Linked DNA regions of Rattus norvegicus. The protein of the gene in region 5 interacts with the protein of the main gene of each other region in a pairwise test. Links are inferred from orthologs where the notes say so. Each region holds a gene or a part of one and is shown on either strand. Other genes may lie near its edges.

What was found.
Region 1: the proteins of Ppp1ca (region 5) and Csrnp2 interact in binary tests that used the Homo sapiens proteins (3 or more experiments, as listed by UniProt). The link is inferred for Rattus norvegicus from reciprocal best matches to the Homo sapiens genes PPP1CA and CSRNP2.
Region 2: the proteins of Ppp1ca (region 5) and Phactr3 interact in a two-hybrid assay, tested with the Homo sapiens proteins (2 studies listed by BioGRID and IntAct). The link is inferred for Rattus norvegicus from reciprocal best matches to the Homo sapiens genes PPP1CA and PHACTR3.
Region 3: the proteins of Ppp1ca (region 5) and Sncaip interact in a two-hybrid assay, tested with the Homo sapiens proteins (2 studies listed by BioGRID and IntAct). The link is inferred for Rattus norvegicus from reciprocal best matches to the Homo sapiens genes PPP1CA and SNCAIP.
Region 4: the proteins of Ppp1ca (region 5) and Tprn interact in binary tests that used the Homo sapiens proteins (3 or more experiments, as listed by UniProt). The link is inferred for Rattus norvegicus from reciprocal best matches to the Homo sapiens genes PPP1CA and TPRN.
Region 6: the proteins of Ppp1ca (region 5) and Aatk interact in binary tests that used the Homo sapiens proteins (3 or more experiments, as listed by UniProt). The link is inferred for Rattus norvegicus from reciprocal best matches to the Homo sapiens genes PPP1CA and AATK.
Region 7: the proteins of Ppp1ca (region 5) and Ppp1r3b interact in binary tests that used the Homo sapiens proteins (3 or more experiments, as listed by UniProt). The link is inferred for Rattus norvegicus from reciprocal best matches to the Homo sapiens genes PPP1CA and PPP1R3B.

The regions. Positions count from the first base shown.
Region 1 is NC_086025.1:133,482,369-133,485,868, forward strand, and holds part of Csrnp2 (cysteine/serine-rich nuclear protein 2), read right to left. Parts: intron 361-3,500; 5' UTR 280-360; coding exon 129-279; intron 1-128. UniProt on the Homo sapiens protein: Binds to the consensus sequence 5'-AGAGTG-3' and has transcriptional activator activity. May play a role in apoptosis.
Region 2 is NC_086021.1:185,719,807-185,723,784, reverse strand, and holds the start of Phactr3 (phosphatase and actin regulator 3), read right to left. Parts: upstream 2,801-3,978; coding exon 2,644-2,800; intron 1-2,643.
Region 3 is NC_086036.1:48,502,973-48,506,472, reverse strand, and holds part of Sncaip (synphilin-1), read right to left. Parts: intron 1,890-3,500; coding exon 1,021-1,889; intron 1-1,020. UniProt on the Homo sapiens protein: Isoform 2 inhibits the ubiquitin ligase activity of SIAH1 and inhibits proteasomal degradation of target proteins. Isoform 2 inhibits autoubiquitination and proteasomal degradation of SIAH1, and thereby increases cellular levels of SIAH.
Region 4 is NC_086021.1:28,479,811-28,482,300, reverse strand, and holds the end of Tprn (taperin), read right to left. Parts: intron 1,553-2,490; coding exon 1,330-1,552; intron 1,243-1,329; coding exon 1,136-1,242; intron 1,033-1,135; coding exon 970-1,032; 3' UTR 501-969; downstream 1-500. UniProt on the Homo sapiens protein: Essential for hearing. Required for maintenance of stereocilia on both inner and outer hair cells. Necessary for the integrity of the stereociliary rootlet.
Region 5 is NC_086019.1:210,913,215-210,917,375, reverse strand, and holds the start of Ppp1ca (serine/threonine-protein phosphatase PP1-alpha catalytic subunit), read right to left. Parts: upstream 2,801-4,161; 5' UTR 2,733-2,800; coding exon 2,678-2,732; intron 2,220-2,677; coding exon 2,088-2,219; intron 1,956-2,087; coding exon 1,725-1,955; intron 1,221-1,724; coding exon 1,116-1,220; intron 165-1,115; coding exon 1-164. UniProt on the Homo sapiens protein: Protein phosphatase that associates with over 200 regulatory proteins to form highly specific holoenzymes which dephosphorylate hundreds of biological targets.
Region 6 is NC_086028.1:105,794,619-105,798,118, forward strand, and holds part of Aatk (serine/threonine-protein kinase LMTK1 precursor), read right to left. Parts: intron 3,458-3,500; coding exon 3,370-3,457; intron 2,844-3,369; coding exon 2,710-2,843; intron 1,810-2,709; exon of another isoform or gene 1,707-1,809; intron 915-1,706; coding exon 830-914; intron 757-829; coding exon 635-756; intron 130-634; coding exon 1-129. UniProt on the Homo sapiens protein: May be involved in neuronal differentiation.
Region 7 is NC_086034.1:63,542,876-63,546,892, forward strand, and holds the start of Ppp1r3b (protein phosphatase 1 regulatory subunit 3B), read right to left. Parts: upstream 2,801-4,017; 5' UTR 2,598-2,800; intron 2,592-2,597; exon of another isoform or gene 1,823-2,591; intron 1-1,822. UniProt on the Homo sapiens protein: Acts as a glycogen-targeting subunit for phosphatase PP1. Facilitates interaction of the PP1 with enzymes of the glycogen metabolism and regulates its activity.

The DNA.
Region 1 (3,500 bases), on a different chromosome or scaffold from region 5:
TTAGCCTCTGCTACTGGAGCAGTGAGGTTTTCCAGATACAAGGGCATGCTGTGGGAAGGGTAAACCCCCGGGCTGGCTCCAGGGCTCTCTGAGGAGTGTGGGTCAGGCACAAGGAATGGCTCACTCACGTGTGAAGCTGGCAGTCGTAGGAGGGTTAAGGCTGTCGCAGCTGTCTGCACTGTCGCTGCTGGACATCTCATCATCCGAGTTGGAGACTGACGAGCCCACGTCCACATCATCGAATTTCCTCTTGAGGCCTGAGCCCGAGAACGCATCCATTGGCTTCCAAAGGTCTCCTTGGGGAGCCAACCACGATGGCCCCAAGCTGCTCACCACCAGCTAGCCAGGAGCATGAGGACTCTGCCCAGGGGAGAACAGCAGTCAGCAGTGTGGTCCCAAGACAGAGCTGGCAAGTCTGTCAACATAGCACGCTCACTGCAGACAAGCAACTGGCCGGCACTGAGTCTGCCTCTCCAACCTGGTCTTTCTTTGTTGGCTCAGGCCAATGCTCTCACTTGCTCCCTTCCAGCCCCTCAGTCACTCTTAGAACAATCAGTTTGCAGCAGCACCTTCCCAGGGGAGTGACAGCCTCACTTTCAGCCCTGCTGGCCACAGCAGTCATTGGCCCAGGCTACTGCTCACTGCCCTTCTGACCACACAGGATAGTACTCTGAAGTATCACCGGGAGACTAGATCAGAAAGAGCATAGGCTTTGCCTAAACCAAAGCCAGACCCAAGTGTTAATCCCAGAGATAATATAGTCTGGCCTGTCCCCAAGAGTATATCTTAAATATACTAGTTCCTTCGATATTAATAGCCTTTTGAATGAAAATAGGACTGCTGTGTTAAGAGTTTAGAAGACTATGTATATCAGTACCTCCTAGGGGTTTTTTTAATACACTTATGGTCAAGGTAAAAGCTGGGAGAAAACAGTTCAGCGTTTCACAACCTGATTATGGAACCCACTGCTCCCAGAGTATGTTAGGGGGCAAATCGTCTCTGGAACACATTTTGGGAAATTCTGCTCGAGTCTCTCAATTCTGAAGGACATTGGCAGCCAGGGAAACCCTTGACCCAGATCTTCACAAGTGTGAATCGTCTCATCAGACTCTCAGAAAGGGCAAACTTAGTACTGAAGAAAAGGGGGCGAGATTAGAATCTGCACTGGCTTCAAAACCCAGAGAGCAGGGCTGTGGGTGCGGCTCAAGTGGCAGAGTGCAAGCCCGGGGTACACGAGGCCCCAACTTTGATCCCGGCACCACATACAATTCAGAAACCAGATTTTTTTCATGGCCTCTCATCATTTTCTATGCACAGAGGAAAACACGGATTTACACTCTCTGGCCTCTGAAAAGAAGCCATCAAGGGAAAGCGGAAGAGATTACCCTGGCTACAGGACACAGCAGGCACAAGCCTTTTTTGTCTCTTCCTCCCTCGTTAGACGTAAGCTCCTAAAGAACACAACTCTGCAGGAGAAAGGCTGAGAGGCATCCCACACATGACGAGGCACGGGACCCCCACACCGTGGTCTCACTAGTTGCTGACTGTGCTGCAGGATTAACAGCACCGACCGGGACATGCAGTCGTGACTGCCTGGCTTCAGAGCTGCTTCCCAGAATGCACTGTAGTGACGGGAGGTATTGGCTACATCTTGATTTTCTGGTCTCCATCTTTTAGTAGCAATTTAGATCAGCTCTACAAAGTTAAAGCAAACCTGGTGGGTGCTTTGGGGATTTCCTGAAATATCTACTCAGATCACATGAAAAGAACTCTGCACTTATGTCAAAAAATGAACCTGAGCACCTTAACTTTCAAACAAGTACAGCCTTCAAATAAGTTTGGCTGAGAAGAAAAATTACAATCAAGAGTTTGTTAAGAATTATAATCAAGGCTGGGCATGGTGGCATAAGCAATAATTCCAGCCCTTGGGAGGCAGAGGCAGGTGGATCTTTCTGAGTCTGAGCCTAGCCTAGGCTACATAGTGAGTTCTGGGACAGCCAGGGATACACAGTACCTGACTAAAAACATTTATATATAAGATAATTAGGGGCTGGTAGTACGCAGTTGAGAGTGCTAACTGCTCTTCCAAAGGACCCGGGTTCAGTTCCAGCAACCAACCCTCTAATTCCAGATTCAGGGAGTCTGAAACCCTCTTCTGGCCTCTGCAGGCACCATGGTACACAGGCATACATGCAGATTAAAAACGCCACTACACGGGGCTGGGGATTTAGCTCAGTGGTAGAGCGCTTACCTAGGAAGCGCAAGGCCCTGGGTTCGGTCCCCAGCTCCGAAAAAAAGAACCAAAAAAAAAAAAAAAAAAAAAAACGCCACTACACATAAAATCTAGAAGGTTTTTAAAGAATCAAATAAGTCTGAATCATGAGCTGTGTTCCTAGGGTCTGCCCACAGGTCACATTAGGAAAAGACAAGAGGTAAGAGAACGACGGGACTTTTTACAGTTTAAGATCTTAGCTGGGCTTAAAGATGATACCCTTCCAGCTAACAAATGTCTCATTCCAGTCTATTTTGGGTGAAGGAGCATGGGGGGGGTGGGAGGGACCTCTGTCATTAAATATTCATGTGGATGCTATAGCGGAAAGGAGAATGCTGTCCACTGAATCCCCTCCCCCCATGCCGTCTCAACTACACAAGAAACCAACACTGAGCAAAAAACACGTTTTCTTGGAAAAACCTTAAGCGTCCCTTCAAATCTAACTGAACTCTGGTTAACGGTTCTAGAAAAATGGCTGCTCCTTAGCCTGGAAGCACTCAGGGACGGGATTGGAAGCAATTGTACACTCTGCCTCTCTCCTCAGGGTCCTTTGCTTCCGGCCGTGTGGATTTCCTTGAACTATTATTTTTTAAGTCTCCCGTGGAGTTGGATCTGTGCCAAACCCATCTCTCTTACTAAAACTCCCCCTTATCTTACCCAGCTGCCCCCGAGGACCCTTTCATCCCGCTTACTCTGTGCCCTTGAGCTTGGCGATGCTGGTGTTCCGAGCCCCTTCCTCCCACCTCTGGGGTTGTGGGTTGGGCAATGACAGAGGTAGGCAGTAAAAGAAAAGGGAGGGGAAAACTGAGATGTAAGGAGAAGTAATTTTTCTTAAGCAGCCAAGGATAATCAGGCCTACATTTGTAAATCGTGTGCCTACTGACCTAGATGACCTATTCCACTAAAGGACTGGGACGCAGCTCCCTAACCCAGTGGCTGCCTGTTAGGCCTTTGAGGCCTCCTCTGGCTTCAATTCCCAGCACCGCAGAACAATGACCATCTCCCGCATAGCCCTCAGGAAAATCCAGGACCCCACTGTTCTAGCTCTCTTCACCCACTCAGGATGTTAGCGGTACTTCCTGTGAAACTGCCTGTTTTAATTGTTTAAGTCTAGCTACGGTCTCAGCCGCATGAGGCCCCAGCCTGTTTCTTGAGAAAGGTCTGGAACTCCCATGGTCCTCTTGCTTCTTCAGTCTCTCAAGTGTGTGCCCCAAGTGCAGCCCTCCAG
Region 2 (3,978 bases), on a different chromosome or scaffold from region 5:
CTTGGGGCCCAGAGCCACTCATGCCATCTTGTCCATTTTCCTATTCCATGCACCTAAAGGTAGAGGTCACCTGCCCCAGCCCCTGGCTTCCTGTGCACTGTCGCCCTCTGCAGGACCCTGGGGATGGAGCATGGTTTTCTATCTACTTCCTGCCTGGCACACTTGAGATACTGGGGAATTCTTAAACAGTTCATCCTGTTTTCATTCTTGTCAAGAATAATTTGTCAGTCAACTTCTTGAGTGATTAAAATAATTTGGTAAGTTGCATACACAAGAGTGAATGCTGAGCCCTCTGCTGCTGGCGTCCTTTGCCCCTCCCCCAGGCTGGGTGCAAGTGAGTGCCTGGGCTTTTGTCTCCACCATCCCCCCAGCGCCAGGCACGTGGCTCTTCAGAGCTGAGCAGGAAGCTTGGGCCCCTGGGACCCCAGAGGCAATGGCTTGAGACAGGCACTTGCCAGGCATGTCCCTGGGGGCTGGGACTAACTCCACATGTACAGCAACCTCACTAATTGCTTACAGCTGCAGCTAATAGGCAAGGGGCTCAGGGGGAGGGCCTTGAGGCCCAGGCTTCCTGGCTTCTGGGGTTGGTGGTTCAGGTCCCTGAGCTTGGAAAGAGCTCAGGGTTGGTGGCCAGTGTTCAAGACCAACCCTCCCTGCCCTGGGTGAGCAGCCTCCTCTCTGAATCATTTTTCTCCCTCAAAGAAGGGGGTTCCCTGCTCAGCGCACGTGATGCTGTGGCCTCTCATTTGGCCATTCCATCATGGACTCCATGCCACAGTGCAGCTTTGGGGTGTAGTTTATATGGTCGATGCTGGTGAGGCAGAGGCAATTAGACAACACGGTGCAACCCCACTTCCCACTGAGCTAGGACCAGCTGGGTATAAGGCTGCAGTACAAGTGAGTGGGGAACCTCTGGATCCTTGGGTGGGAGGTGGTGGGGGGACGCACCATGACCCTTAATACCACAGGCGGATCCTAAGAGCAGGGAGCACCATAACCAGGCCCCTGCTTGGTCTGAATGGGAGGGTCATGGCCATGGCTCAGTCACTGGTGAGCTGAGGACTTCTGCAGTGTGTGATGTGTGAGCAAGAATAGCAGTCCTCGAGGCTGGAGAGATGGCTCAACCGCTAAGAGCACTGCTGTTCTTCCAGAGGACCTGGGATTGGTTTTCAGCGCCCACTTTGGCAGCTGACAACTGTTTGTAGCTCTAGTTACTGGGGATATGATCCCCTTCTCTGACATCTGCAGGCACCAGGCACAGCATGGTACACGAATCCACAAACACACACACCCACACGCACACACACGCACATGCACATACGTGTGGCATGTTGTGTGTCATGTTGTTTGCCATGTTGTGTAACATGGTGTGTGCCATGTTGTGTGCTGTGTTGTGTGGCGTGTTGTGTGCTGTGTTGTGTGCCATGTTGTGTGATGTGTTGTGTGATGTGTTGTGTGGAGTGTTGTATGATGTGTTATGTGAAGTGTTGTGTGGCGTGTTGTGTGCTGTGTTGTGTGCTGTGTTGTGTGCTGTGTTGTGTGAGGTGTTGTGTGGAGTGTTGTGTGCTGTGTTGTGTGCTGTGTTGTGTGCTGTGTTGTGTGATGTGTTGTGTGGAGTGTTGTGTGGAGTGTTGTGTGCTGTGTTGTGTGATGTGCTGTGTGGCGTGTTGTGTGCCGTGTTGTATGATGTGTTGTGTGGAGTGTTGTGTGGCGTGTTGTGTGGTGTGTTGTGTTCTGTGTTGTGTGCTGTGTTGTGTGATGTGTTGTGTGGAGTGTTGTGTGCTGTGTTGTGTGATGTGCTGTGTGGCGTGTTGTGTGCCGTGTTGTATGATGTGTTGTGTGGAGTGTTGTGTGGCGTGTTGTGTGGTGTGTTGTGTGCTGTGTTGTGTGCTGTGTTGTGTGATATGTTGTGTGGAGTATTGTGTGGAGTGTTGTGTGCTGTGTTGTGTGATGTGCTGTGTGGCGTGTTGTATGCCGTGTTGTATGATGTGTTGTGTGGAGTGTTGTGTGGCGTGTTGTGTGGCGTGTTGTGTGCTGTGTTGTGTGATGTGCTGTGTGGCGTGTTGTGTGGCGTGTTGTGTGGTGTGTTGTGTGCTGTGTTGTGTGATGTATTGTGTGGAGTGTTGTGTGGAGTGTTGTGTGCCGTGTTGTATGATGTGTTGTGTGGAGTGTTGTGTGGCGTGTTGTGTGGTGTGTTGTGTGCTGTGTTGTGTGCTGTGTTGTGTGATATGTTGTGTGGAGTGTTGTGTGGAGTGTTGTGTGCTGTGTTGTGTGATGTGCTGTGTGGCGTGTTGTATGCCGTGTTGTATGATGTGTTGTGTGGAGTGTTGTGTGGCGTGTTGTGTGGCGTGTTGTGTGCTGTGTTGTGTGATGTGCTGTGTGGCGTGTTGTGTGGCGTGTTGTGTGGTGTGTTGTGTGCTGTGTTGTGTGATGTATTGTGTGGAGTGTTGTGTGGAGTGTTGTGTGCTGTGTTGTGTGATGTTTTGTGTGCCGTGTTGTGTGCCGTGTTGTATGATGTGTTGTGTGGAGTGTTGTGTGGCGTGTTATGTGCTGTGTTGTGTGACATTGTGTGGAGTGTTGTGTGATGTGTTGTGTGGTGTGGGGACCCCTGCCCGTGCCACTCTCATCTCACTGGGGCCTCACCTGACGTTGTCTGCTTCAGCTTCTCGTTTTTCTTTTTCCTCCATTTCCAGGGTTTGAAGATCCTGCCCAGCGTGGCCAGCTTGCTGTTCCTCCGCACAGGGGGAGTTCGAATCCCTGAGACCAGAGGCTCGGAGCGTGCTGGGGGAGTTTGGTCCATCTCATCTGCAAAGTGAGAACAGGGAAGGGTCTCATGGGATGATTTCAGGCTCCTGGGGACCTAGGTGACCATCTTACCTTAAGGGACCTCTTAATGCATACAGCTTAGGGAATTGTCAAGGCTGTAGTCCCTCCCTGGGCTTCCTTCTGACAGAATACACACAGGAGGCAGCTTATCTGTGCAGTTGATCACTTGCCTTTCCCACCTCCTCACCATGGTGGTCTAAAGGCTGGCTGATTGCATGATGAACTAGCTCCCCTCTGCCACAGGACCTTTGTACATGCTCTGCCTACTGCCCATGCTCTGCCTACTGCCCATGCTCTGCCTACTGCCCATGCTGCGTTCCTTTCCAGCGTTCCTCTACCTTAGCAAGGGATGGCCAAATATTGTCATCTAAGTGTTGGGCTGTACCCATAGCTATCCTGAGAGGCATGCCTCGTGTGGACTGTGGATTAAATGCAGACATTGGATGTTAATGTACTCTGATAAGAATCACCCCTCCCCCCCCCCAGGAAGTTTTTACTCTGTTCCAGCAGAGACTGGCCTGAGCCCTTGGCTTAAGCACTGTGCACACAGGCATCAAGGAACCACAAAGTCCCCCCAATCTCCTTCTCCTAGTCATCAGCCACCCCAGAGCGGAGCACAGACCAGGCCCAGCTGCAGACCACACCCAGTTCTGCCCGTCAGATCACCACAGGGAACAGCTGCAGAACAAACCTGAGCCATGAATAGATGAAGGGAAGAATCTTTGCTCTTGGTCCCTCCTGGCTGGTGACTTAAGACAAGTGCACGCAGTGGAGGGTGTACATTAGCTGTTCCAAGAAGCTCCAGGCAGCGCAGTGTGTCATGCTAGAGACAGCATCCTGCAGGTTAGCCTGTTTCCTGCGCTCAGGGTCTGGGCAAGGTGTTCCTAGACTCTTGGTCTCCTATTCAAGGACCTGACATGAAAGCCAACTGGTATTTGCAAAAGTAGTGAGGGAGCTTTACTTAAAGCAGAGGGATGCAAGGGAGCAGCAGGTCCCACGAGTCAAGGACCCAATAACATATTGTCTTGGGTTCCTTCTGTGAATTTGAGAGAAGGAAGGACTGGTTACTGAGAAGCACACGATGCCCTTCTCTGTTCTGACAAATTAGGTCATATAGTCATGTCTCCACTGTGCACATCCCTTCTCATAACG
Region 3 (3,500 bases), on a different chromosome or scaffold from region 5:
GGTCAGCCGAGCAGTATTAGCATTTGGGTCCTCTGAATAAATGGGACCAAGAAAGGATTGACCCAAAGAGAATTTTAGGAAACAGCCAGGAAAATCAGAGAAGACATTTTCAAGAGAAAAAAGTTACAGCCTCATTCGGCAAAACTGTTTATCATTTTGTCCTCTTTGCCACAACAGGCCATGCATATTATAGTTTATCTGTGCGCACTAAACGCCATGGAGAATCACAATGCCGAGAAGCAGCGATTTTCCTGAATGAGACTTTGAGAGCCCAGGCTTGCTACTATTTGATCAGTGTCTGGAAGCTAGAAAGTGCAGCAGATGGAATGCTAGCTCAGCTGAGCTTTTCAATAGACATTTCTTATACCGAGTAACTCTGTGTCTGGAGTCCTTGGAGACAATTCTTCATGTTCCCTAGACATGCAGCCCTGGAACAAAGTAAAACCCCCCTCGTGGGTCAGAGAACAATCAACCTCTAGGGGAAGCTGTATCTGAAGTCCTTTCCAGCCCCCCTACTCCAACTCTTCTGAATACTGAGCAGGGGAAACAGAGAACTCTCTGTCCACAGATCTGGCAGGACTGCCATCGGCTACAAACCCACATCCTCACAGCACCAGAGGGAGAGCGTGGGGAACCATTTGAAAAGCAAAGGGGAGAAAAGGCATTCCCATTCAACTGGATAACAGGGCTGGGCCCTTTGTTTTCTTTTCCTTTTAGATTAAATGTCTTTTATCCCAGCTGAGTTCAGATGATGTTAAACGGCACTTACAGTCCCCTGTGGCCACTTGTGTCCCCTGTTTTAGCCTCCTAACCTTAGAGTCTGAAACACACATCTCTCAACTAAAGCCACAGGTAAAGATTTAGTAAGAAACAAAACAAAGGGGGTGAATATGACCAAAACAGAGTTTGGGAAATTCTCAAAGAACTAATAAAAGAATTTTACAAGAAGATGTGAAAAAACCCACTCCACCCTGTTATAAGGTGGAGTCATAGACAGACAGACAGACAGATAACACTCACCAAGAGCGATATCTGCCCTTCGTTCACAATGTTCAGTATGCTTCTTACTTTCTGCAGGTACTCAGTCCTTTCTTCTGCGCCTTGGGCACTGGCCCAGCTCACGCCGTTGACCTGCTCCTCTGGTTTGGCTCCTGCTGCCGAGGTCTGCAGGCGGAAGGGCCTGAGCTTGCAGTCTGGCCCAGACTTCTCAGCTTTCCGACTATGGGGATCACTAAAGACCTTGTTTAAGAAGTCCTTACTGTGGTTTTCTGATTCAAATGCAGGGCCGCATTTACCAGGAGCGGGTGAGTTCTCCGATTCTTCCGCAGGGAGCTTGTGCTGGTCCCGGAGGACACTGGGTACTTTCCGTAAGTGAGGGCTTTTCACAGGAGAAAGAACACACAATGGAGCCATGTTGGGTGTGGAGGTCTCAGCGCTTACAATAGGGCAGGTTTTGGCAGAGAGGCCATTGACAGTTGTGCATAAACCCAAAATCCTTTTTTCTGAAGTCACCTTGGTGAGCGGGGCCAGCTGTTGACTGGATTTAATGTAAGGCACATCCAGAATCTCATCCATGTCGAGGTCATAGTGCTCCAGCTCACCCAGTGCCTGGCTGGGCTCTGAGCCCTTGCCTGGCAAGCCTCCGACTCCATCTTCAGGGCTGAGCTCCTCAGGCTGGGGGCCCTGGTCAGTCTCCCCCCCTTTCTGGTATTCCACTGTATTGTTCTTCTGGTCGTCACTTTCATTGCTCTCCAGAGTCTCTGGCTGATGTTTCAGTGGAGAAACTCGCTTCACCGGGCGGAACTTACTGTATACATCAGCGATTCCAGTGGGCTTTTGCGGGTTTGTAATGAGAGTTGAGACACCACAATTCCAGCTAGAGCTAGAAACTGTTTAAAAAGAAAATAATAGAGGATACTATTCAATTGGAATCTGAACACAGTTTGGCCACATAGGTAGGCATGTTCATTTAAGTTATGCTGACAGTAGGTCCCTGTGTGAGGCGATAAGCCCGAGAGGATGAAAGTATCCTTACTACTGCAAAGGCAGAGCCTGATAAGAAAGCTATGCCATGCTGACTCAAATTAATTAAAGAAGCAATAGTGATCGAGGCAGAAAATTAAAATAAATGAACCCTGACAGACATTACTGAGAGTTTCTGGCACTATTTACATGTTTGCTACTACCCTAAAACAAACAAACAAACAAACAAACCAAACCAAACCAAACCAAACCAAAACAATAACAACAAAAAACCCAAGAAAGAAAAATAAAAACAAAGTGGGAATGGGCTTCCAAACTAAAGCAGTGCACACGCGAACATATAGTTGTCTGTATGCATCTCGAATGTTTGAGACATCCATGTGAAGAACATAACTTATCTTCTACAAACCCAAAGTCTGTCCTACTGTGTGACTCAATAGTTCCTACTAGATAGTAAGAGTAGGAGAAGAGAAGCATAAGGCAGCCAGGTGCTCATCTGTCCATGGAGACAGACCATGGTTGAGCCCGTGTGTCCTGTAATAAATGTCCTAGTCAACCAGTATGCGGGGCCATCTCATGGTGCTTCCTAGGTCATGACACAACCACAAAATGCATTTCCACTTGACAAAAGAACACACTCTTTTTAAAGAAAATACTTTTTATTGATTTTCTGTGAATTTCACATCATGGACTCCAGTCTCACTCATCTCCCTGTCCCCTTGCACTTGCCCTCTACCCTTGCAACAACCCCCCCCCCCAAGAAAATAACACACAAACTAGAAATACAGAACAAAACATGAAAATATCTCCAAGAGAAGGTGTAGGGTGTCACAGAGTGTCCTACAGCACACCCCTCTGTCCACACATCTTGCAAATGTTCACCACAATGAGTCATTGGTCTGGCTTGAGGTCTCTGGCTTCTGTGACACCATCAATATTGGATCCTCACCGGGACTCCTCCCAGTTACCCTGTTGCTATCCTGTGTCATGGAGATCCTGCAGCTTTGGATCAACAGGACTGACCCTTTCACAGGCTCCAACAGTTCACAGATGATGTAGATTTTGGCCATCAAGGCCAACTCCACTGTGTTGCCCTGGTGAGGTACATGGCTCACTCTCCTGGGTACTGAAGTTAGAGAGAGGCAGGGCCTGCTGCCGAATGTGAGAGGTGCGGCCAGCTTTCCAGAGTACCACAGCCAGGGATGGGTGAGGCCAGTTCTGCACAGCCATTGGATATCCATGCGGTCCCTGGCAGCTGCCCCAACCAGGGACTTCCCCCATGGTCTCTAGTGGTAATATGAGCCACAGATGTCAACACTGCCCTCTGCCTCTGCGTGGCTATGGGACCTAGACATGGCCCTCAGTAACAGCACAGGCTGAGACTTTACGATGGCCTCAGGTGGGGGGAAGCTGGTGGCTACTCACAACAGGTTACTCCTTTCTACCTTAGAATTTCCAGTTCCATCTCTCTTCATAATGCTCAAACTGTTCCACTGTCTTTCTCTCCCATCTGTCTG
Region 4 (2,490 bases), on a different chromosome or scaffold from region 5:
CTGGCTGCCAAGGCCTCTGAGAACAATTTCCAAGTAGGCAGCTCTGCATCTCCCTAGACTTTTGGGAACTCTGTTGCTACAGCCTTGTTACAGGCTTATAGGTCAGGAGGTATCCAAATCAAATGTGAGAAAAGATTTCCAAGTTTCCATTTAGCCCCATTCCTGTGTGATACACAACTAGCTACCTTACTAGGCTCCTGGCCCTGCACTGAATCCTGTCAATTACAGCACCCACCTTCCTCCCATCTGGCATCTAGGCCCCTGGGTCATGGAGTTGCACAGTCCAGACATTAGGTCCACTTCCCATGGTCCTAGCTCTGAGGGAGAAAGTACCAGGCTTGCAGTGGGGAGAGAACAAGAGTAAGAGGCAGACCAGCAAGAGCTCAAAGTGTAACAATGCCAGACTGAGCTCACGTTTTGCTTTTTTGCACACAGGTGCTCAAGTTAGGCCTCTACCTTGCTCTTAGACTGAGGGCTTCGTAAAGAAGGCAAAAGCAGCCTTGTTACAGTGCTGTTTATTGATTCCAATATCTGAGGGGAGAAAAAAAAACACCCTGCCATCTTTCATGAGGAGTGGCTGAGGTCCACCATAGTAGAATCATGAGCTTGGATTTCGGCAAAGAACAAATAGCTATGGTAGCCTCTTACTCCTGACAGTGGCCACTCCCCAAAAGGTAGAGGCTGAAATGTCCAACAGCACCTTGGGACAAGATCTGCTCAGGCCTCCACCTCATCACAGATGAGACAATATGGACAGATGTCAGCCTGTCCCACAGGCAATTCCCACCTGTTCTTCATTGGCGTGAGATTCAGATCTGGCCCTAAAGGCAGAAGGAGACAACACAGAAAGAAGGCAGGGAGAGCCAGGTGGAAGGGGCACAGAATACAGTCAGGGCTCCTGGGTATTGACTGGCTTCCAGGACCACCACACCTGGGGCTAAGTCTTGGCCATCCTGACAGTTGCAGGGGTCAGAAATAGAGGGCTGGCTCGCTGCGGAAGTCCGAGAGATCATTCTGACTGGCAGGTGTGAGCTGAGAAAAAGAATAGAATATAGCCACTAAGGCTCATTCACGCATCAACCCTTCCCCAAGCCAGTCAGCCTCCTTTGGTTGTCTGGGGGTTCACCCAGCTTACCATGACCTCTTTTGGTGGGAGCTCCACCTCAGTTGGAGCCTGCACCAGTGTCTGCTCCTGCCACTTGCTGAAGGCCATGGAATGCTTTGGAGTGTAGCTGGACAGACCTGCAATCCAAAGGCAACAGGTATGGGTACCTAGAAGTGTGGTCCAGGTTCCACTCCCAGGCTGCCCATCCCAACGGGTGTGATTACCTGAGCTGCTCTCAGGTCCCACACTGCTTACAAATGTGGCCCGGGGCAAGAGAACTGTGAAGGATTTCTCTGAGTCAGGCCCCACTTCCTCCTCTTCACCATCCTCTCCTTCTTCCTCCTCCTCCTCCTCTTCTTCCTCCTCTGCCTCCTCCTGGGCCAGAGAGCTCTCAGAAGGGTACTCAAATGTTGTGTGCAGGCTCTTGTCATTGAAGGAGATCTTCATCTAGGAGTGAGAGCCACGTCAGCAGGGGCCCTGCCACTCCGTTAAGCAAAGATGCTAAACAGGGAGAGAAGACCCTTCCACCAAGAGTTGTAGACTCCACCTACCCACCCTCTGCCTGCAGCAGCTCCTAACGCTAATTCCACATTCTGGATGTCCGTGCATGAAAGAATCCTAGCACCAACCATCACTGTCGGGGGCCTGCTTCGGTTGGGTTGCTGGTGCTAGTGGGGAGCCCCACTTATAGAGTCTAGGGTACTAGCAATCCCATCAGTGATCCCAATTCCTCTACCCTACTGTGTGCCTCACTGGCTCCAGAATTTCATAATCAAAGTCTCCTTTCTCTCCTAGTGGCCTGGTTTTAAGGGACAGAAAGCTGTGGGCAACCCTGTCATGATCCTCCTGTCTGCTCCCTGGGCTGGGAGCCCCTCCTCCACAACTGATGACTGTTGAGGTTCCCAGTCCTCTGCAGAGCTCAGCAGAGGGTTGTGATGAACATGAGCACTTGCCTACAGCAGATGGAGCAGTCTTGCTGGGCTCGAAATATTAAACTCCTAGGCACAAGACACCAACAGCCAGCTCAGGTTCCCCCTCTTCCCCTGGAAGGAGCCAGAGGCCCAACCGGATGGGAGACTAGCCTGGCAGGGGAGTTGAGCCTGTCCTGAGGCAGCAAAGTGACCCTGGCATAGGTCACAGAATACACCAAGGGCCCATAAAGCGGAACACCTAGACTGTGAACCAGCATCCTGCCTCCTGCCCCTCTCAATCAATGGCCACACTTGCCCACATGACTGCCCATCGGAAGATACCCTGCCCTGGACCAGGAGGAAAAACCCCCGGAATTGGAGCTCCTGGCTTCTCGACCTGCTGGGGACGTCTGTTCTCCCAGGCCCTCCCTACTTTGGCCATCTATACACACTGATAGGCAAATGGGAACACAC
Region 5 (4,161 bases):
GGCCCCAAAGGTAAAGGAGACTCCACGGTCATTCTCGCCCCAGCCTTGAACATCCTTGTCAGGGTCAGACCACAGCAGATCACACAACAGGCCCTGGTCAGGCACGTCCGTGGGCCGCATAATACGTCTAATCTGCTCCATGGATTGCAAGTCTGGAGACAGGCCTGGGGTGGTAGAGTGAGAATAGTGTTCCTTACACCGAAAAGCAGGTACTATCCCATGCCCAGAAAGGTCTCAGGGGTCAGCTCCACTTTCCCCACCAACGCTGGGTTCATCTTTTGGGCTCCTTAAGTTTAGGGAAACAGAGTTCATTATATTCCTGCTGGCCCCATTTCTCTATGTGGCCTTGGCTGTCTGGGAACTCCCTTTGTTTTTTTTGTTTTTGTTTTTGTTTTTTTTTTTTTAGGAATATGTTTTTTCAGTTTTTTTTTTATTGGATATTTTATGTATTAACATTTTTTTTTCCCGGAGCTGGGGACCGAACCTAGGGCCTTGTGCTTGCTAGGCAAGCACTCTACCACTGAGCTAAATCCCCAACCCAGGGAACTCCCTTTGTATGCCACCGCCACCTGGCCATCCCTCAGCTTTTAGAAGTACAAAGAGTACGGGCTGGAGAGATGGCTCAGCGGTTAAGAGCACCCGACTGCTCTTCCAGAGGTCATGAGTTCAATTCCCAGCAACCACATGGTGGCTCACAACCATCTATAAAGAGATCTGGTGTATCTGAAGACAGCTACAGTGTACTCATATATAATAAATAAAATAAATATTTAAAAAAAAAAAAAAGAGTAGACCTCCGTGGGGGAAGGAGATGAATGAGTTGCCTATAGCATGCTAAATACCACAACAGGAAAGCGCAGTCGAACTGGGGTGTGTAGCCAGGTGAGGTGGTGCAGGCCTTTAGTCCCATCACTTGGAAGGCAGAGATAACCAGAACTCTTGTGAGTTCCAGAACACAGAAAAACCCTGTCTCAAAAACAAACTGGGCTGTGGGTGACCTGTAATAAGTGACAGCCAAATTCAAGGAGAGCTACTCCAGGAAACAGGAGAGTTCTGTTAACTTTCCAAGGCCCCTAAGGATATAGCCCAAGCACAGACCCCACAACCATCCTGACCTCCGTGGCAGCAGAAGATCTTCTCATCTACAATGGCTGCAATGGGCAGGCAGTTGAAGCAGTCGGTGAAAGTCTTCCACAGTTTGATGTTGTATCGTCTCTTGCCTGCACAGAAGAAAATGGCTCGTAGGGAAGACCACCCACCACACAAAACCCAGTCTATAGTTTTCTGTGCACTCCTCCAGGGTACTTTGTGGGTTACTCTGACAAAGTGCAAAGACTAGAAGGCAAAGAAAGCTTATTACAGTTTCCTTGCTCTGCCCTCATCTACCTTCCAGAATTCCAACACCTGGGTCCACAAGAACCTGAACTCCAGTCTGGCCTAACCTCAGTGTCTGGTTTATTCATAACATGCACCCTAAATGCTTAGTAAGGGATGCAATAGAGGGAAGTGTCATCGGGCAGGGCTGTGGAGGAAGCTTTAGCAAACGGGCAGCCCTGCATGTACATCCATTCACCAGGCCCTTCCTTGGTGCCATGGATAACAGACAGCTTGGTTGGGGCTTTGCAGGACCCATCATCAGGGTTCTCAGCACTAGAACAATTTAGGGGGCCCATGAAGTGCAGGAAATGTAGTTCTGGGCAACCAGCAACATTCAAAGCACTCACATTCATCATAGAAGCCATAGATGCGGTTGATGCTGGCACACTCATGGTTCCCACGTAGTAGAAAGAAATTCTCCGGGTATTTGATCTTATAGGCCAGCAACAAGCAGATGGTCTCCAAAGACTGCTTTCCCCGATCCACATAGTCCCCCAAGAAGAGGTAGTTGCTCTCTGGAGGGAAGCCACCATACTCGAACAGCCGTAGAAGGTCATAGTACTGGCCATGGATGTCACCTGGGAACCAGAGAAGACTAGGTAGGTCCAAGATGTAAACTTGAACCCAGGGCCAGCAACGGAAACACAGGTACTGGGGCAGGAGTAAGGGGCTATTTTGAGGAAGCTAAGGGGTTCTGAGCAAGGGCTTACCACAGATCTTGAGAGGCGCCTCAAGCTCCAGAAGAATAGGCTGGCTCAGGAAAATCTCCCGGGATTTGAGGCAAAGACCACGGATCTCGTTCTCTGTCAGCTGCACATTCTTTCCAGGCCGTGAGCCCTGCACTGGGTACGGAATAGGGTCTTGGGACCCTGACCTCGCAGACCGAATGTCATGCGCCCCTCCCCAACACCAGCAACTGTTGCAAGGGAGCCCCCGCTGAAACCTTTGCATCAGGCCTTCAAAGGCAAGATACGACCCCTTAGCCACCCGGAGGCCCTCCAGAGACACGCCTGTGCTCAGCAGCCTGTCAACCGAAGCTTCCTCGCCTCAGAACCCCTTCCCAGCTAGCTTCGCAGGAGTCTCACCCTGAGTCTCGGCCACTCAAGCGTCCCCGGCCTCGGAGCGCGCTCCAAAGCCTAGGCGCAGGGAGTAGGGAGGGCTGCCGTGGCCATAGAACCTCACGGCCTGTCCCCGCCCAAGCGACGCTAGCCCCCGAGAGCGGCGGGCCCGCCCGCGCTCTACTTCCGGACGGCGATGGGCCCAGGCTCGGCGCGCGCGCACCTTCCCTACCCCTACCCACCTTCCAGCAGGCGCCCGATGATGGAATCCAGGTTGAGCTTCTCGCTGTCGGACATGGCGGCGCCGCCGCTCCGGCCCACCAGCTCCGGGCCCTCTCCTGCCTCCCGCCCTCTTGCAGCCTCCTTCCGGCCTGGCTCTCCTTCCGCCCTCCCCAGCCCGCCCTCGGCCCGCCGCCCCGCCTCTTCGGCCGGCCGCCCCGCCCTGCCGCGTCCGTAGTTCCCTGCTCTCTAGCGCCTCCCCTGGACCGGAAGCACTGCAGCCGGGGAGGGCCTCGGGCGGCCGGGCGAGGCCTGGCAGGGGTGGAGGGCGGGGTTTGTAGGGCGGAGTTGGGTCGGCTCCACCCAGGAGGAATCGCCCTGCTGCGTTCTGATGAGTTAGAACCGGAAGTACTGTAGAAATTGTTTTTCTCTTTCCAAGTCTCTTCCCACCCCAGCCCTGCGTGGGATTGTGGTGTGAGCATGTTAATCGCTGACTTCTCAAACACTGTAAAGTAATTCCTCGAAGTGCAGAAAAAGGAACTAAGGCTCAATGACACTGAGAGTGAGCTCCAAACCTCCAGAGCCTCACATTCACCTCGGTCTTTATGGCCAGACCCATGAACACCTGCTACTGAACTCGAAGCAATGTTTTGGTCCAGGTTGCCTTGGTGCCTGCTACGTCAGGTTTTTTTTTTCGTTAAGTGATGTAATACTATTTTATCTCCTTCCTGTTGTAAGTCCTTTGTAGAATGCTTGGACTTGTCTAGCATGTGCAAGGCCTGAGGTTTTATCTCCGGCTCTGGAAGGAAAGTAAAGAAAGAAAAGGGGGGAAAGGTATTATTTTTAAACAGTAACACATTAAAGAACCCAATGTATCATAAACCTGTAATTCCAGTGCCTGAAATTCCAGCACTCAGGAGTCTGGACACAGGAGGATCAGAAGTTCAGGGTCATGCTCAACTACATAGTGAGTTCATCTCCTGCCTGGGCTACGTGAGACCCTTGTTCCCAGACTGTACCCTTTCACTCTCAAAAAAGAAAACCCAGGACAGTGGGTTGGAGTGGTGGGACGACATTAAAGCATAATTATTACTGGAACCATGAGTTGGTTTTACACGCAAGTAACCTCAAAACCGATAGTGGCCTGTCATCTTCAACTTGGGCAAGTCGGGGACTCTTCACACCTCCCATCCGTGATGGGAGGAGTCCGTGGCTCAGGCACTAAGGCAAGCAGGAAGAACCTCATAGAGGAAGGGGGGAGTCCCCCCACCAGGGAGGGGCCCCCAATAGGCTGCTGAAGCTGAGACTGAGGAGGAAGTGAGAGGAGGAGGTGAGGTGCAGCAAGGAGGTGAGCTGGGCTAGGGGCCAGGCCTGGGGTGGGTCTCTACACAGAGACTTGGTCTTTGTGGTACCTCAGGGACTACCTGACTCCCCCGTGACTGAGGACTGGTTCCTGGAACCCCAGCCTCAGTCTGGCTGTTCACACTGGCTCTCTATATGTCTTGCA
Region 6 (3,500 bases), on a different chromosome or scaffold from region 5:
TGTAGCTGGGGCTTGGGCAACTTAAGTTGCTGTTCTCGGACGGCGTAAGCCAGCACCTGCCGGTCCGAGTGCTGGGGGTAGGGCTGCGCGCCCAACTCGAAAAGCTCCCAGATGGTCACACCCAGGGACCTGCAGGGGCAACCACAGTGACACACGGCTGAGCATGACTGCCCAGAACCCCTGAACACCTGTCTCATGCCAGCCTCTCCAGGACTGGAGCTCATTATGCCACAGCCGCCCTTCTCCTGGCACAAACACAAGTCAAAGCCCTATATCCCATAGGGACACGTGGCCTACAACAGCAGCTCAAGATGGTTTTAACCAAAATATGACCCCAGTATTGGTGGGTGTCAGTTGGTCCTGTCCTGAAGGCCCCACGCCCTTGACTCTACCAGTACAGGAACCTCAGAAACCCACCATCAACTAAGTAGCCTGTGAATGAGCTTTTAAGGCCACTGGGTGGCAGGCATGAGCATTCTCCCTGGGTGCCAGCCTTCACCCTAACTGGAGAAGGAAGTCAAAATGTTAGAGCAGGCAGCAGAGCTAAAGCTGCATCCCCACTAGAGTAGCTGATGCCCTGGCACCTGGGGAGGCGGCATCCCAAGACCCTTCCAGCAGCCAGGCCTGTGCTCACCACACATTGCTGGTCTTAGTCTGGTCCACCACCAGTAGGTTGCCATGCACCTCATCCACCAGCTCTGGCGCGATCCAACGCAGCGGCACCCACAACTGGTCGGCCGTCACGAGGTAGTCTTCCTACAGGGACAGGTCGGGAGTGAGCCCGGTCAGCAGCCACCCCTGCACACAGGCTCTGCCTGCCCTTACTCACCCTGTATTTGCAATGGGCCAGGCCATAGTCGCCAACCTTCACTGTCAGGTCAGCCGTCAGCAGGCAGTTCCTCAGGGCCAGGTCACTGCAGAAGGGTAGGCAGTGTCAGCAGAGTGTCAGCCTGGGCGATTGGCTCCCGGGCATAGTCAGGCAGACAGACAGGCAGGGATGTCTGAGGGACCACTTTCTTGCGCCCAAGCTTTGGCTCTGCACTCTCTATGGCCATTTTGGAAGATCTGTGTGGGCGGTACATTGCACTTGGCAATGCATGTGAAACTCAGGCAAAAGATGATCAAGGACACCCCCCCAGCAAGACCTCACCAGAGCCCTAGCCCCCTCTGCCCTCTTCCTAATCTGCCCAAGCCACAGACAAAGTGTGTCTGCAGTGTCCTATCAGGGCCCTCAACCTTCTGACCCCAGTACACCACATTGTCATCCCAATCCCCAGGAGATAAGAACTAATAAGCCAAGGCCTGGAGTGGAATCAGAGGGTTCTGCCAACAGTCAGAGCCTATGTTCTAGAGTGTAGACCTCCCCGCCCTCCTACACAAGCTGGAGCCGAGGTCTAGAACAGGGTGGACCACAGAGCTCCCCTCCGTGGAGGATAAAAATCACCCCAGGTCTTCCTCCAACTCAGTGGCAAGCCCGGATGCCAGCCTCTATATAACTCCAGTTTGGCTGGAGGCCCCCTGGTGTTTGGGGTAGAGTGCTATGGGATGCACCCTCATCCGCCATACTGCCGGTACGCCGAGGGCTCTCCGGTTGTAGACAGAGTCATCCTGGCCTGTCTCAACCCCAGGAGGACTGTACCAGGGGACGGATGCGGGGTTGGGTGACCTATGGGTGGGGCAGCTGGGCTAGGCATCAGGCAGGACAGGAGGCTGGCAGCTGCCCTCTTCAACAAAATCACTGATGCTGGAGTCACTGTGCACCCACTCAGCACCAGGATATTGTTGGGGAGGACGGCCTGGGCAGCGTCGGGGCTGGCGGGCCGCTCGTCCATCGCTACTTCTTCCAGCCCGTGCCCCCCGGCTCACGGGCGACTGGACATCCTGGCCTGTCTTTTGGTCACCAGAGGCAGGAGAGAGCCACCCCTCCCACTGCAGGGCCAGCCCAGCCACTCCCTTTGTGGTGTGAGGGAAAGAGACCAGGGCCATGTGGGGGCCCAAAGTATGGCTGACTGTTCTAACAGACAGGAGGAATGTCTTCATTTAATCGTCTGCCAAGGTACGTTTCAAACATGAGTCTTCACAATTTATTACTTTTTTTGAGATGGTCTCCTCTCTCTCTCTCTCTCTCTCTTTCTCTCTCTCTCTCTCTCTCTCTCTCTCTCTCTCTCTCTCTCTCTCTCTCTCTGCACAGCCCTGGGTATTCTGGAACTCATTAGGTAGGCCTGGCTGGACTTGAACTCACAGAGATTCTCCTTCCTCTGCCTCCCAGGCGCTGGGATTAAAGGCGAAAGCTGCTGTGCCCAGCCAGTTTTCACAATTTTTTTAAAAAAAGATTTATTTTATTTATTTATTTTTATTATTTATTTATTATATATAAGTACACTGTGGCTGTCTTCAGACACACCAGAAAAGGGCATCAGATCCCATAACAGATGGTTGTGACCCACCATGTGGTAGCTGGGATTTGAACTCAGGACCTCTGGAAGAGCGGTCAGTGCTCTTAACCGCTGAGCCATTTCTCCAGCACCCCTAGTTTTCACAATTTTAGGAATTATAAAATTCCCTGCAGAGTGGCTATTAGACGAACCCAGTTCACAAGACCCACAGAGTGGGATCACTGCGATTTTCCTGTACAGAGGCATTCAGGGTCAAGGCACTGGGGTAGCGGGGCTTTGTGTCCACGGCCTGGCTAGTCCCGCTAACCCTCACCTGTGCACATAGTTGTGACGATGTAGATGCAAGACACCACACGCCACCTCGCACGCCATGCGCTGCAAGGTAAGGGGGTCAGGCGCCATGGACTCTGTCACCCGGCAGCTCCGTAGATAACCTTTGAGGTCCCCCTGCCGAGAGAGCACACAGTCACCTGCTAGCAGCAGCTACCAGCGCATCACAAGCCCGCCACCAACCTGGGTCGGGTGACCTGCAGATCAGCTGGCAGCCCTAGTGTTCGCAGCAGTTTCAGCAAAGCCTATGTCTGGATTCCGACACAGTGACCTTCATACAGAAGCAGCTTTGGCACCAGAGCTGCGCATGTAAAGAGGCCAAGGAGCCACACGAGGATCCTAAACTCAGGCTCTGCCCCAGGAGCTGTGTGAAGCCTGTGGCTGTCCCAGGACTCCCCACACTGAACTGCCCCAGACCCCACAGTGTTGCCCCTGCTGCTGCTGGCTCACTCTAAGCAGACCCCCCTCTGAGGCAGAGCAGGGCAGGGACCACTAGGACTCTACTGGAGAAATAACAAAAGATCCCAAGAGGCAGAGCAGGAGAGGAGCCAGCTCAGAAGGGCCTCCCACTCCCCTTTGGAACAATGAGCTACAGAATAGGACCTGGACAGACAATGCTGCCTCCCCGCAGATGGCCACTTACCAGGGGACAGAACTCCATAACCAGCAAATAGGGGGTCACCTCAGCACACTGGGCCAGGCACTGAAGCAGGTTGCTGTGCTGCAGGGCCCTGGAAGAGTCCACGGGCGTCTGAGTTGGAGGGCAGGAGAGGG
Region 7 (4,017 bases), on a different chromosome or scaffold from region 5:
GTAAGATTCTTCCATGAAAGGAAGAATAAATGTGAGGTTCTGAGAGCCCAGGAGTTACCATGGGGACTCCTGCCCTGTGAAATTACATAAGCAGGCCTGGCTTGGAAATCCTTCTTTTTTTTTTTTCCCTCTGAGTATCATCAAGACTACAGGTTAAGGACAGGTTAAGGCCACACCCTTGTGGCCACCGTCAAGGGTGTGATGTGATGATCGTCCTCCCAGAACATTCCAGCTTTTATTAACCCGATGCTCGTCCAAGAACTGGTGCACTAAAGGGCTTACTTCAGTTTAGCCTTCCTGACTTTCTGCTCAGGGTGTCTCAACAGACTGTGACAGTGATAACTAACGGTCACTCAGAAGTACTTCCAGAAACTGTGACAGTCGGCCAATAGTTAAAGTCCCCTAAAGGAAGGCACCTGGACAGGTGCTTGAGGAAACCCATTCACGCCCACACATGATTGAATTATGCTCAGCCCTTATACTGTCTCCAACACTGCCCCCGGCTTTTCCTTCTACGGAGGAAGCAGACAGAAGCAGAGAGCACGGATGCACTTTTGACCAGCAGAGCGACATACGATCCGGTCACTAGTTGCAGGACAGGATCCTGGGAGCCTAAGGAGCTGTTTCCCAAGGACAATCACACACTCCGCGTTCACGTGGGTGCCTCAGAAGTCAACTGCCTCTGAAGGGTGCCTGGGCCAGCTTTGGGACACTTGCAGAAATACCTTCTGTGTCCTAGTAAAATAATGTGGTCTCTCAAGATGCTGGCCAGTCTTAGAAGGCCAGTAATATTTCTTTTAAACTTGACAAGTCTGAACAGAAAATAACCCCACACAACCTCCAGGCAGTTGAGCGACTGAGTTTCTGACTGAGACCTTCTTTCTGTAACTCTTCCACTCGGATGCCAAAACCAGGTTAACAGCTCACTGCAATACTTCATTAGATAAAAATCCACGATCAATCCACGACACCACCATCCACTCCTTCCCCCTTCAGCAATTCTCTGTTCTCTCCCCCAAATGTTTAGCTGATACTTATACATGTACGAAGTTGACATTGGTTCCCTTTTGTACACAGACCCTAATTATTCCAGCCTTAATGCATACCTGCCCCTCAATCCTTGGAGATAAATGTTTTTGAATGGGGTTGTATAATGAGCAGTCGGGTAGCTTTGAATGACAGAGCCCGAACCAGTCAAAGGCAGCAGGAAGCACAGGCCTAAGAATGCCTCTGCTCGAAGCACAAGGCCCTGGGTTCGGTCCCCAGCTCCGAAAAAAAGAACCAAAAAAAAAAAAAAAAAAAAAAAGAATGCCTCTGCTCAGCTGAGCTTTAACAAATGAACTCTTATAAGTTTTCTTCTGAGGTCACTCGCAGCTCCGACCAACAGAGTTGCTAACAGGGCCACGATGCGTCTCTTCCCACTAACTTTCCCCTAAATGGCCCGACTTCAACTGTCTCCACTTTCTCCCTGGTTCCTGGACGTCTTTGCCAAATGGACCAATTCCTTCCCTGCCTAGAAGAAACCTTTCTTTCTCCTGGACCCGCAAGCTGAGAGAGGGCCACATTCCAACAACTCTACAAGTTCCCCACTCAAGACTTTTGTAGCTTTCTCGTCTCTGTTTCTCCGTGGGCCTGCCATCCACTGTTCTGAAACTACTGTCCGGTTCCCAGCCTCTTCTCTGGGTTCAAAACGGCAGCTGCGAACAAGTCCCTGGGGGCAGGTCAGCGAGTCCCGATCCCACCAGCCGTTCTCCGAGGGTGCTGTGCCTGCACCCGGTCCCCGGTCTCCCCACGAGTCTGCTTCGACAGGGTCTGCACCTACCTCTCCCGCGGCGCTGCAGCCGGGGTCGCTGCTCGCTGGCCTCATGGGAGAGCCTGAAGAGAAGTGACAGGGTTGACTGCTGCCACTGAACTACGTGAGCGTCGGGGTGTCCCGGAGGTAGGGCCTGGGCTTAGTTCCCGGAGACGAACAAGAGGGAGGAGCCCAAGTTATCACACCAGGGCGGGACCTGGCGTCCGGACAACCCAGACGGGAGCAGCGCCTCACGAGCACCCCCACGCGGGCTGCCCCGTTCCCGGGTGGAGCTCACCTCGATCCTATTGCCTGAGTGCAGCAAAGGGTGATCTGAACCAAACTAGGGAGTAGTAGGAACAAGTCCACACTACTAGATGGAGTCAGGGCTGGGACGCGGGGTTTCTTGCATCTATTTCGTAAAACGGGAAACTGAGGCCCTGGGGGGCTTGTGTTTGGACTCCAGATTCCGCAGCAAAAACCTGGAATTGTCCTCCAAAAGTGTCAAATCTCAGGTTGGGGATGTGCCATAACAGGACTTGCCACATCTTTTCTGTTCAGGACGTCCCCCCTGGCTACGTTTCGCGGGCTAACTCGGCGCAGGGATTTCGGGGCTCCCCTCTAGGCTCCATCCCAGCTCGAGTCCCTGAGATGTTTCTGCACGTTGAAGCGACAAACTACCTGAGCCCTGTGAGTCAGTGTAAGTGAGACAAGTGGTTAAGTGGCGGGGAACTCTCCAGCGTGCCCCTCACCCGCAGATTTCCTGGCCCTGTACCTTGAGCTAGAGGCTTGGGGAGGTACGTACCCGGTACAGCTCTTGACTATGGAGGGGAGACCCTTCAGCCCGCCCCACCATCTGAGCTGGATGACAGTGACAGCAACCACGACGGCAAAAGCGGGGCAGGCACTCGGCTTGGTCCTTGCAACAGCAGCCCTCTCACCTGCTCTCTGGCTTTCAGCACTCTGGATTCTGGCTCCAGCAGCCCGTGGCGCCCTTTAACTTTCCAGCCACCTCTCCCTACTAAGGGTGCTCTCCAAGACCCCCTTTTCCCTCCCCCACGTGAACGCGGGACTCAGCCAATGAGCAATCTGGACACGAGCCGCGGACCAATAGCCATACTTGGGGCGAGCAGCACTCCGCCACGTGATCTGCAGCGTGTGGCGAGTGACAGGGCTGGAATCCAGGATTTGGGACAGGGACAGCAGGTCACAGTTTCATCAGGAGCCGGGGTACCCACGCCAAGGGGTGGAGGCGATTTCCTACGGTGGAAGGTCCGGTTGTAGAGAGACTGACCCAGGATCATAGGCTGTGTGCAAAGTTCCCTATTGCTTATAACAAAGTTCTAACCAGATCATAGACTCCCGGGTGTAAAAGGCAGTGTTGTGTTGTCTTTCCACTGGCTCCTCCTTTGCCCTATGTAGGACAAAAAGCCCCAGGGTTTACAGATGGCTATGACCTTCCCAGAGTGCCTAGAGGCAAGTATTCTCCACTCCCTCCCCATTTTGATTTTATCTGCATCTTCAGCTGTAGTGTCCCAAGCATTCGCTGAATCCTGCTTTCTGGCCATTAATTACGCTAGCAAAATCTTTTCCTTGGAGATGTTATCTGGTGGAACATCACTCTCATGTTCACAGGACTGCAGTCGTGGCTGAGGATTAGTGGTGTATTTAGGAGACTGCCTGACTTGGATACAGTAGCCATCTGCTGTCCCCAGCCTCTGTGCCCCTGGGGTTCTGTACATGATAGTGACTTTAGGAACCAATGACTCCTCTTGGGAAATCTATGGATCTGAGCGGCCACTTGAGGTAGGCTCATAGTTTTCTACCTTTAATGAGTAGTGAATTTTTCGGGATGTTGCTAATTGATACAGGGTTGCCAACTTTAAAAAGTGTTAAGTCAACACATTAAAACAAATCTACCACCCACCCACCCTTACTGTTTTGAAACAGCATCTTGTTATGTAGCTCACAGAGATCTCCAACTTAACTCTGTAGTTCAGGCTAGCTGCAAATTTATGGCTTTCCAGGGATTATCAGTGTGCGCCACCACTTACTGACTTTTTGGTGAGGTTTGTTTGTTTGTTTGTTGAGACAAAGCTTTTCTAGGATATCCCTGGCTATCCTAGAATTCACTCTGTAGACCAGGCTGTACTTGAACTTAGTGAATTAAAAAAAAAAGAAAGAAAGAGATAAAGAAAAGAAAGAAAGAGAGGGGGAGGGAGGGA